Caenorhabditis elegans: one gene and its partners. The protein of the gene in region 2 purifies or fractionates together with the protein of the main gene of each other region. This does not show direct contact. Each region holds a gene or a part of one and is shown on either strand. Other genes may lie near its edges.

Evidence for each region. The genes of interacting proteins can lie anywhere in the genome.
Region 1: the proteins of mtch-1 (region 2) and ndub-7 fractionate together in Caenorhabditis elegans (co-fractionation; one large-scale study listed by BioGRID). This does not show direct contact.
Region 3: the proteins of mtch-1 (region 2) and mrpl-12 fractionate together in Caenorhabditis elegans (co-fractionation; one large-scale study listed by BioGRID). This does not show direct contact.

The regions. Positions count from the first base shown.
Region 1 is NC_003279.8:7,580,379-7,583,274, forward strand, and holds ndub-7 (NADH dehydrogenase [ubiquinone] 1 beta subcomplex subunit 7), read right to left. Parts: upstream 1,251-2,896; 5' UTR 1,246-1,250; coding exon 1,132-1,245; intron 1,050-1,131; coding exon 945-1,049; intron 840-944; coding exon 687-839; 3' UTR 566-686; downstream 1-565. Other genes in the region: D2030.3 (Fanconi anemia group I protein), read right to left, coding at 1-310, 391-453; mce-1 (Methylmalonyl-CoA epimerase, mitochondrial), read left to right, coding at 1,743-1,805, 1,880-2,005, 2,349-2,648.
Region 2 is NC_003280.10:7,372,058-7,376,071, reverse strand, and holds mtch-1 (Mitochondrial carrier), read left to right. Parts: upstream 1-1,905; coding exon 1,906-1,955; intron 1,956-2,000; coding exon 2,001-2,176; intron 2,177-2,220; coding exon 2,221-2,327; intron 2,328-2,381; coding exon 2,382-2,544; intron 2,545-2,590; coding exon 2,591-2,944; intron 2,945-2,991; coding exon 2,992-3,170; 3' UTR 3,171-3,457; downstream 3,458-4,014. Other genes in the region: F43E2.1 (Poly(A) RNA polymerase mitochondrial-like central palm domain-containing protein), read right to left, coding at 1-13, 61-285, 336-541, 617-688, 736-792; rpb-4 (RNA polymerase Rpb4/RPC9 core domain-containing protein), read right to left, coding at 997-1,245, 1,318-1,427, 1,491-1,566.
Region 3 is NC_003281.10:10,705,843-10,709,086, forward strand, and holds mrpl-12 (Mitochondrial Ribosomal Protein, Large), read left to right. Parts: upstream 1-1,918; 5' UTR 1,919-1,924; coding exon 1,925-1,994; intron 1,995-2,042; coding exon 2,043-2,243; intron 2,244-2,301; coding exon 2,302-2,552; 3' UTR 2,553-2,679; downstream 2,680-3,244. Other genes in the region: Y39A1A.21 (ATP synthase subunit C lysine N-methyltransferase), read right to left, coding at 728-961; Y39A1A.22 (Xenotropic and polytropic retrovirus receptor 1 homolog), read right to left, coding at 63-698; W09D10.5 (N-acetylgalactosaminide beta-1,3-galactosyltransferase), read right to left, coding at 2,771-2,808, 2,852-3,126.

The DNA.
Region 1 (2,896 bases), on a different chromosome or scaffold from region 2:
CCAATCCACGAATATTGGGATCACTTGTTTGTGCAGCAGCATCCATGCAATTAAGAATAATCTTGAATACAATTGGAGAATGAAGTTCTCCAGCTTGCGGATTTCTAACAAGAAGTTCTCGAGTATAAAGTGATCCACATAATTGAAAATGATCCGAGATATGAGCAAGTCGATTAGCCAATCGCGATTGAACTGCTCGTAGAGTTTGTGAAGAACATTTGATGATCATTCTCGACATAAGACAAAATCCTAGTTCTTGTTCTTTACGTGTTCGATTGGATCCAACGAGACGGAGACATTTTTCGAAAGTCTGAAACTTATTTGATGAATGGATCCATGACAGAATATGTAGGTTTTTAGATAATTCAAAAAAATTTGACAATTTCTAACCTGAATTTCGTCTTCTGGTTTTCCAACCATTGTTTCTTGGACGACTTTTCGGATTTCGGTCATCTCTGAAAGGTGTTTTTAAATTATAATATGGAAAACTAATCGGAATCATTATAGCATAGATATATTACAAATGATACGAACAACAAAAAAATTTTCAACATTAAAAAAAAGTGTACGACTCAATATTTATCCGAAATCGAGAGAAAAAGAAACGAAACAAAAGACACATAGTATTCACAAAAAACTATACTATTATCAAAAATCATTTAAAGAAATATCTCATCGACATCTATTCAAGCAGTGGCTTCTTTGCGAGCCTGTCTTTGAAGCAATCGTCGTTCACGTTCGAATTCTTTGATTCTCATGATATGATCATCATATTCACATTTATCCCAAGCTCCACGTTCTCCGTCGCACGCGTGTCCGGCAAATGGTGCATTTTGGGTCTGAATATAATAAATTATTTTTGCTGTTTTTGAGAAAATAATTTTAGATGTGTATTTTTATATAATTTTAAAAATATATCATTGTAACTAAAACAAAAATCTTACTTGGCATTTCATGAGTGAAATCAAGTGGTGAGCACAATAATCGCGTTGAGCTGGCTTCAACTTCCACTGCTCCATCTCTTCCCAAGTAGCCTTCATCTCGCGGACCTTGAATATTAAACTTTATTATATTGAATATTTATGAATTAAATGAACAGTTATTTAATGAACTTTTAAAAAAGTTGTTTACCTTTCTCGGTCGCTCGAATCCATACTGAGGATCGAAAGTTGGTGGTCTGTCGACACGTGGCGCGGTTTCTGGTGTACTGGCTCCTTCCAATGAGACGGACAGTTTAGTTCCCATCTTGGCTGAAAAAAAAGGAATTGGTACAAAATAAAGAAAGCATCAAAACTCTTCTGATATTTGAATCAACTCAAAATAAATAATTAGCATGCTTAGGGCAGCGAATGCTTTGCTGATAAGAAGTGAACAATTTATATTTTAATAATTTAACATATTTTTCCGGAAAATATTCTTCTAAAACGTTAAAAACAAAGTAAAGCTGAAAATTGGCACAAAAATTGCCCGAAATAAAATAAGATAAACAACAAGCACTTGTGTAATATCGGAGTGTCGTTGTAATCAAAGTGAGTGCGTGCAAAAAGCAAGTTTACAGCGGGTTCATTGACCGAATTTTCAATGTCAAAAACATTTTCTTATCTAAACTTTTGTTTGTTTCTGTTACTTTTCATTTTCTCACAGATGTTTCAATCATTTAAACGCTTATTACTTAGCATTTTTCGAGTTTTATAAATTTTATTAAAGTACAGTAACCATGTTTATAGATTCTTCTTTTGAAAATGGCATCCTTCCGTTCTACACTCGCCCTTGTCAATTCTGCTAAGCTTTCGCTGTCCACAAGAGTAGGTTTTTCTATTTTTTCTGATGAAAACTATTAGATAATCGCTTTTTTACTTTAAAAATTTTGACTTTTCAGACCATGGCTTCCCATCCATTGGCAGGACTTCTCGGAAAGTTGAACCACGTCGCCATTGCCACACCAGATCTCAAGAAATCATCGGAATTCTACAAGGGCCTCGGAGCAAAAGTTAGCGAGGCTGTGGTTAGTCTTTAATTTTTGTTTCTTCCTAATGTCAATAAAAATTTAGAGCAAAAATATGTAGAAAATATTTTTGTTAAATTCTTTGTAGCATAAATCAAAATAAAAATTGAATAGCCTAAAATTTTGAAATAGCATAACAAAAAACGAAAAATTTTGGAAAAACCCCTACAACTGAAAAATGAAATAAAATGCGAATGAAGCGAATTTTGTGTACTACAGTAAACTTACTTGAAAAATATTTATTTAATTACAAGTTTTTTCATAAAAATGATAAAAATCCGCAAATAAAAAATAAAATGTCTCATCTAGTTTATATTAAAATTTTTGAATTGAATAATTACAGCCACAACCAGAACATGGAGTCTACACTGTCTTCGTTGAGCTTCCAAACTCAAAAATCGAGCTTCTTCATCCATTCGGCGAGAAATCTCCAATTCAAGCTTTTTTGAATAAGAATAAGGACGGTGGAATGCATCATATTTGTATTGAAGTTCGTGATATTCATGAAGCTGTTTCTGCTGTTAAAACAAAAGGAATTCGTACTTTGGGTGAGAAACCAAAAATTGGAGCTCATGGAAAAGAAGTAATGTTCTTGCATCCAAAGGATTGTGGAGGTGTACTTATTGAACTCGAGCAGGAATAATTTGATTCTTTGTTCCCAAAATCTAGCAATCATATTATCTGTTTGACAAAGTTTTGATCTTCACTTTTTTGTGAGAAACTTCACAAATTTTAAATTTCGCAAAAGTTCTCTCAAAATTTTTTATTGGCAGCCTATAACTTTTGAAAAATCGATAATATGATATAAATTACAAAAAAAAAAACTATAAACCTTTCTTTTAGCACCCAGTATTTTGCATAGAGATTAATTTTTGATACGTTTTAATCTGT
Region 2 (4,014 bases):
GCGATCATCGAGTCTGAATAAATTAGTTCAATAAGTGTTATTTCCAGAAATTAATCTTACTGGCAGTAAGCATTGATATACTTTGCGGCGAGACTTGTTCGAGGATTATCATCGAATGTTGCACTCAAATCAACTGGCACATCGTTGATTTTGAATCGGATGATCGGAACCTTTGCCGTTTGCACAAACGAAATTCCGCTGACGACATTCTCTCCAAAAATGTTCTGCCCTTCCTTACTGTACATCATGTCTCGAAAAATGGCTTGAAGAATGATTACCGGCAGTCTGCAAAAGTTATTATAAATCGTCAAAAGTAAGGCTGCAAAACGACTTACTGTTTTTTATTTCCTGTTGCCGTCGCACACACACACAGATCAAGATCGCTGTCTTTCGAGGCACAGTGCGTCGGGAAACTTCCAAAAACGCTAAGTCCACGCAATTTGATTCCTTGCGAAGCGAGTTGTTTGGTAACTCCTTCGGATTTCAGGTATTTTCGAACCAACGCCACATAAAGCTTTCGTTCCTCCAACATTGATTGGCTCTGAAAATTTGGATTCAAATTATAAACATGCGAAATCTCTACAATTGGTAAAAATTAACCAGTTTCCCATCCTACCTGTCTTTGATTCATATAAAATATATTTATATCTTGTTCGAGCTGCTTGAGAGAAGGATGATCGCCTTGCAACTGAAAAATTCTAGTACATTAACAAATAATGTGAAAAATAAACTCACAATGCTCTTAAGGCCTTTGAGAAAATCTGGAGACGGTCTGCTCAATTTCTGCACCATCTGGTTCAATAGTGTGATTTTTTCAACAAAAAAAAACAATATGAAACCAGTATTCATTTTCGATTGAACAAATTATTTGAAAAACATTAATAAACATTTCCAAAATTTCATTTCATTGTATCAAATAACACATTATGAGAGATCTCATAGGACAATTACAGTAACTTGAGAATACAGATAAATATGGGATTAGTTTGCTTGTATTTATTGGAATGTTCTTTTGGATTGCAGATCCTTGAGAACTTCCTCTAGTTCAGACTCCTCGATTTTGTTTTCCAAAGAAGGAACTAGTGCTTTGGCTTCTTCGGCATTTTCAGGGCAGAGATTGGCAATCTGCGCAACTTCGAATTTGTGAAGATGCTTCTCGGAGAAAATCGCTCGAACTGCACGGATAGTTTCGCGATTTTTGAATCGAGACATGCGGCGAGCGTAGTTGAGAGTTTTGATGAAGACCTGAATTCGTTTAATATAAAAATGATATTATAAATCAATAAATTTAATCGACTGAAATAGTTTTGAGACTACCTCGCTCATCTCTTCAATTTCGTCTTTGCTTTCACTCGATTGACGACGATGCTCCAGAAGCAAGTAAACCTCAGCGGTCAGAAGAGCGTCGCATGTTGTTGTTTCGAATTCTGAAAATATACCGATTAGGAAAAATCACCAAATTCAAAAACTCAGTAAAAACAAAACAATACCTTTCGGAAATTTGCATTCAGCGGCATCTTCCTCGACTTGTCCATCTGACTTTTGATTTCCTCCACCGGAAGACATTTTCTAAAAATATTTTTTAGATCAGTGACAGTGAGATTTAAGTGAAAAACAATAAAACTGACGGAAATTTATTCAACTATCAGAAAATTGTTTTTAAGACAAAAAATTCTGCAATTCTTACACAGAAAGAGGAGTGAGATAACGTGCGCACACATTGCGTTTCAGTCTCCGCCCACTTTTTTGTGCGGCGAATGTTTATTGTTTATCCGCTCATTTTTTTTATCTTCGATTTTTCTCATTTAATGTCTGATTGCTATTTTTTATGAATATAACTATAGTTAACCCAAAATATTAGTTTGTATTTTCATTTGTTATTAAATTAATTATTTTCAGTGAATCATGGCTGAAGGAAATCAACAAGACGCTTTCCTTGGGCTTGCTCCAGAAGATGAGAGTTTAGTCTTATTGAAATAGATTTGAAATTCAGTTTTACAGGAGAAATTCGCCAAGAGTCTTATTGCCAAGCTCGCTTTGAGCTCGTTGTCGCTTCCTTTGACCGTGACACGTACCCTTATCCAGCTTGGTCATGAACCGTTCCCATTGTCTACAGGAAAGACTCTCGTCATTGCAGGAAGAAATGCGTATTTCCTTCCTAACTTCTTCAGCTATAGTAGGATTCACGAAAATAATCTTCGGTAATGATCATAAATTTAGTGAAGCAATTGGGAACTACTCGTGGATATATCACCCTTTGGACTGGAATCGACTCTGCTATCGCTGCTTTGGCTGTTCAGGGTATTGCTTCTCACCGCACTCAGCAGGTAAACAGTTTTCTCATTGAAAGTTCCTGAAAACCGTAAAAAATTATCTTACAGTACATCGACGAGTACTACCCCAATATTGGAGGACCTCTTTTAAATCAAGATAAAGAAGAGGATGAACTCACCGATGCTGAATCATTCCGAAGAGTTATTCGTAACGGATTCCGCGATTCTGTCATTCGTGTTGTTGCTGTTACTGCTGCACGACCATTTGCTGGTAAGTTAAATTATTTGCGATTAAACTGTATAATAATCTCTTCCAGTCTGCTTTGCTCGTCAAGTTGCTCAAGTTATTGGCAATGAAACTAAATACACTACCTGCGCCCAGGCTCTGGCCGTCATCGGAAAGCAGGAAGGTCCAGGAGGACTTTTCAGCGGACTTGCTCCTCAGATCGTTGGAGAGCTTCTCGTCATTTGGGGAGTTCATCTAATTACTCACGGAATTCAAAGAGCTATTCTCCGCATTGAATTTGGAGACACAAAGAATAAGGACGAAACGAAAGCCAAGGCTGCCAAGGATGTTCACAAGTTCATCCATACTGCTGTTCCATTCCTCGTCAACTCCTTCGGCTACCCATACAGTGTTGTATCCACTGTTATGGCTGTTGCTGGATCAGGTAAGCATGCGAATAACAGTATCTTTTAAAATAAAAGATTATTTCAGGACTAGCCGTTTCGTTCCTCCCATATTCACCATCCTTCAACAACTGGCATGGAGCATGGGACTACCTTCGCCCAATTGGTCTCAAGCGTGGAAACCGCCTGTTCCTTCGTGAACAAGTGGGAGCTGTCACTGTCGGCGTGGATCAACAACTTTACGCTAGCAACTCTTACTTTGCATAAGATTTTCGTCCCCAACTTCATCCAATCTTCGCTATAATGTATTTTTCGAGTTTTGCTAATCCCTTTTCATATACCAATCATCGGTTGTTTTAGACTCAAATCTCATAGAACTAAAATGTTCCTTTAATCCAAACCCGTACTTTAGATTTTCGATTTAAATTTCAACATGTGTCCCGTAATTTATTAGCTTTAGCGTTATCCTATGATGAAGTTAAATCTACAATTTAAAATTTTATAGTTTTTTTTTGTAAACAAACTACACTCAAAATAAAAAAAACTGCGTGGCGTGTACTGCAGAAAACCTCATATTTAGGCCCCGCCTTTTTCTCGTCCACTCACGGAGAAAAGGCAACAATATGGGGGCCAACCGAAAACATCAAGAGAACCCGTGATGGCAAAACGGGGTGATATCTCAACTCCTGTGAAGAGAGCCAACAACCCAACCGCAGTCGCCAGGGTACCCGATGATCCATCCAATCGGCCATGATAGTAGAATTCGACAACAACTTGTCTATATTGCACCGGGAAGCCCATAGCAACTGCTTCGAAACGAGCGACTTGATACGCTAAATGCGACTTCCGTTCTATTTCTGGACCCATTTCACCTTGACTATGAACTTCGAACGAGTGTTCGTTGGAAATCTCATATCGGCATTCTGAAAAATATATGATCTTGTATCATCATTTTACTAGATATGAAGCGCTGTTTTATGTTTCTACATAGTAGATCTTTGGCAAGAAGAATCCCACTGGCCATGTCCATTTTGAGACATAATCACAAACTGGAGGAAAATTCAAATTTTCTAAGTAAAAATGCTCTGGAAACTTCTCGAAAATTCAAAGG
Region 3 (3,244 bases), on a different chromosome or scaffold from region 2:
AAAGTTAATTCTGTTTCGTATAAAATAATCAATTTTCCAATTTTTTCAGCGAAATTTCGAACCTTAAGCCTCTTCATTCCAGCTTGTCGATTTCCAGCCTCCAAATCATTAATTACACTGGTTTCCACATTTGTGATCAGAGTTTCAATTTCTCGATTCAAGAAAAACGACGATTTTTCCACTTTATTAATCCGCCAGTCGAGTCCTCGTTCGTTGCCAGTGAGCTTGTCGTGTTTCTTTAAAATCTTCCGAAATCCGGTAGCATTCAATTGCTGAAAGTTCTGAACCAGCACCAGAGAAAGATAAAACTCGGAGAATGCGAGTTTCAGCTGCTGCTCATTCCGTGTGGTCTCCTTATGGAATTTGTCTTTTCCTCCGAACCTTCTACGGATCCCTGTGGTATCGCTGCGAGACCCAAGAACATCCTTGAACACTTGTAGTTCGGTTTGAAGCTCGTGATGTTTTCCCTGTCCTTCAGCGATTTTTTGCGAGAAGAATAGGTTGATCTTGGTGAGCTCTTGGTCGCACTCGTTGAAAAATTTCTCGTCGAGCCGGGAAATGTGCTCTTCTCGGCGGTCATCGTCGGCGGGAACCTCCATCATATCATCGTATAATAGATTTTTGAGCCGCTCATAGTCAATGTATTGTTTCCGCCACTCGGGCGTCAAGTGGCTCGCTAGTTGCTCGCCGAACTTCATCTAAAATCGGGAAAATGGGAATAACTTACAACACGGCCATCGCCGGAGCCTAAATCAATGAGCGTTCCCTTCTTGTTGCTGTTGCTGCTCGTGGCGAGTGAAAGTGCGCGGGAGACGTTCGCGAGCTGCTCCGTCGTTGCTGGGACGTACGGAATGCAGACGCGTCGCAGAGCGGGCGCCACGAACGGAATTGCGGCCGCCGAGATGGCGAGCGCCGTTGCGCCAGCCACACCGGCAATCACCAGACCTGTGTTCATGCCCATACTGCAAAAAAACACAATCTCGAGGGGAACACTCATTGATTTAAATCATGATTTTTTATTTGTTTTAAAATTTATTATTTTTAAGTTTAAATTATCTTTATTTTTCAAAGGATTATTGTTTTTGAATATTTAAAATTAAAATTCATACCCACCTTTATTCTTCAATCGATTTTCTTCGGAATAAGATGAAGTTTCTCATCAACGATTCAAATTTTCTACCTGAAAACAGAAAAAAAATGTTTAAAACGATTTTCAGGCCTAAAACAGTGCAAAACACTGGAAATATATCGATTTACGCATAAATTGCACTCGACAGAATCAAAATTTAAATTCGTACTTTTCGCGAAAAAGAGATAGACAACGAAATTCGATAAGGGCACATGCGACTAAAAATCGGGAGCTCAGTGCACCGGAAGTGCGCAAGCAGTTGATGATTGCGCAAACGAGTGGCTACTGGCGCGTTTTCGGATGGGTCGGATTTATTTTCTGCAATTTCTGTGCGATTTTTATTAATTTTTTGCGTTTCCCACCGTATTTTCCAACCAAATTTCTGAATTTTTATATAAAATTGTCGTAATTTGCATGGTTCCGACGTTGAAAATCACCAAAACCCAGGTTAAAATTCGTTTTTTAAAAAGGGGGTTTACTTTATAAAGATATGCAATTTTGGAATTTCAGTTTTGCTAATTTTTCGTGGTTTCTTAGAGTTTTTCTATTGAAGATTGTTAAAGATCTTGTAAAGAAGATGTTAAGTCGGTAAACATTGCAAAACTTTTAATTTTCCTCAATTTTCGCTAATTTTTTGCGTTTCTTTATGATTTTTATTTTAAAATTAGGTTTTTCGGGTATCGATTTGTTAATTTTTTAGCTAAAAATATATTACATAAACAAAAGTTTCTTCAAACTTATATTTCTCTCTTATTCCGATTAAAAACTAAATTACCTTTCAACTTCCAGGTAAATATGTTGTCCAGAACACTCCGACCGATCTCCAAGGTGCTCAGAAGCAGCGCGAAGTACTCCCAGGCCGCAGGTAATCTGAAAATTAAGATTTTCCTCAAAATCATATCAAAATTTTCAGGTCTTCCATTAAACGAGGGAAGCCCGGCACCATTGCCATCAGAAGACAGAGCAATCTCCGCAAAAGTCAGCTCGTTGGTTGAAGAAATCGCGAATCTCAGCCTGCTCGACGTCTCCGATCTTAACTGGGCTCTCAAGAAGCGGCTCAACATTCCAGATCAACCATTGATGGCTGCTGCCGCTGCTGCTCCAGCCGCTCAGGGTAAACATTATTTATTATAGTTTAATAAAATTATTTATTTATTTTCATTATTTTTCAGCCGAAGCGGAAGCCGCATCAGACGTTCCACAAAAAATGACATTCACTGTGAAATTAACGAAATTCGATGATACCAAGAAGATCGCAATCATCAAGGAGATCCGTAACGCCATTCCAGGCCTCAATCTCGTTCAGGCCAAGAAGTTTGTGGAAACCGCACCGGTAAATGTTAAGGAGGATCTTGGAAAGGCAGAAGCCGATGAGTTGAAGGCTATTCTGGAGAAGGCTGGAGCTACCATTGAAATTGTTTAATTTTTTGTTCTATATTTCCCTCTTTTCATTTGTTGTGTTCTCATTTTCTTCAAATTTTTCGTAGATAGTGTAGCATTTCTTTTTGTTAAGTTTTATTTTATTTTATGGAAAAATAATTAATTTCAAAAATAATTAAATTTACACCCGGCAAGAAGAGAAATACACGTCCCATGATAGAAATACTATTGGATAGATTCTGGAGAAGCTGCTGGAGAAGATCAAAAATCGGTAGTCTCATTTGAAGAAGTGTCAAGACCTGCAATTTGGGAAAATTACCGGAAGCCTGTATGGGTACAAACCTCCGCGTCCGAATACTTTCAGCGACATTCCGAATTGAAGAACTCGCATATCCTTTTCGGATAATTGGCCGAACGAGATCGCGTGGTCGGAACATTTTCCGGCTTTTGTGGGACTTGAACGGAACAATTTCGAGTCTGGCGCAATTATTTGTTTTGGTGGAAGATCGTTGAATAGTCGGAGAGCATCTTCATCAAATGGATCAGCTATCTGGACACCGTACTTCTCGCTGCAGTCGTAGAGAGCGAAATCCGAGGCTCGCGAGAAGAAAAATCCTCTGAAAATCATGAAATCAAACATTTTTAGAATTTATTCGGGAGTTTTCCAGAAGTAATTCTCTGATTTTCGATTTTTTAGTCTTCAAAAACTTTCGGTAATTTTGCAAATTAAATTTG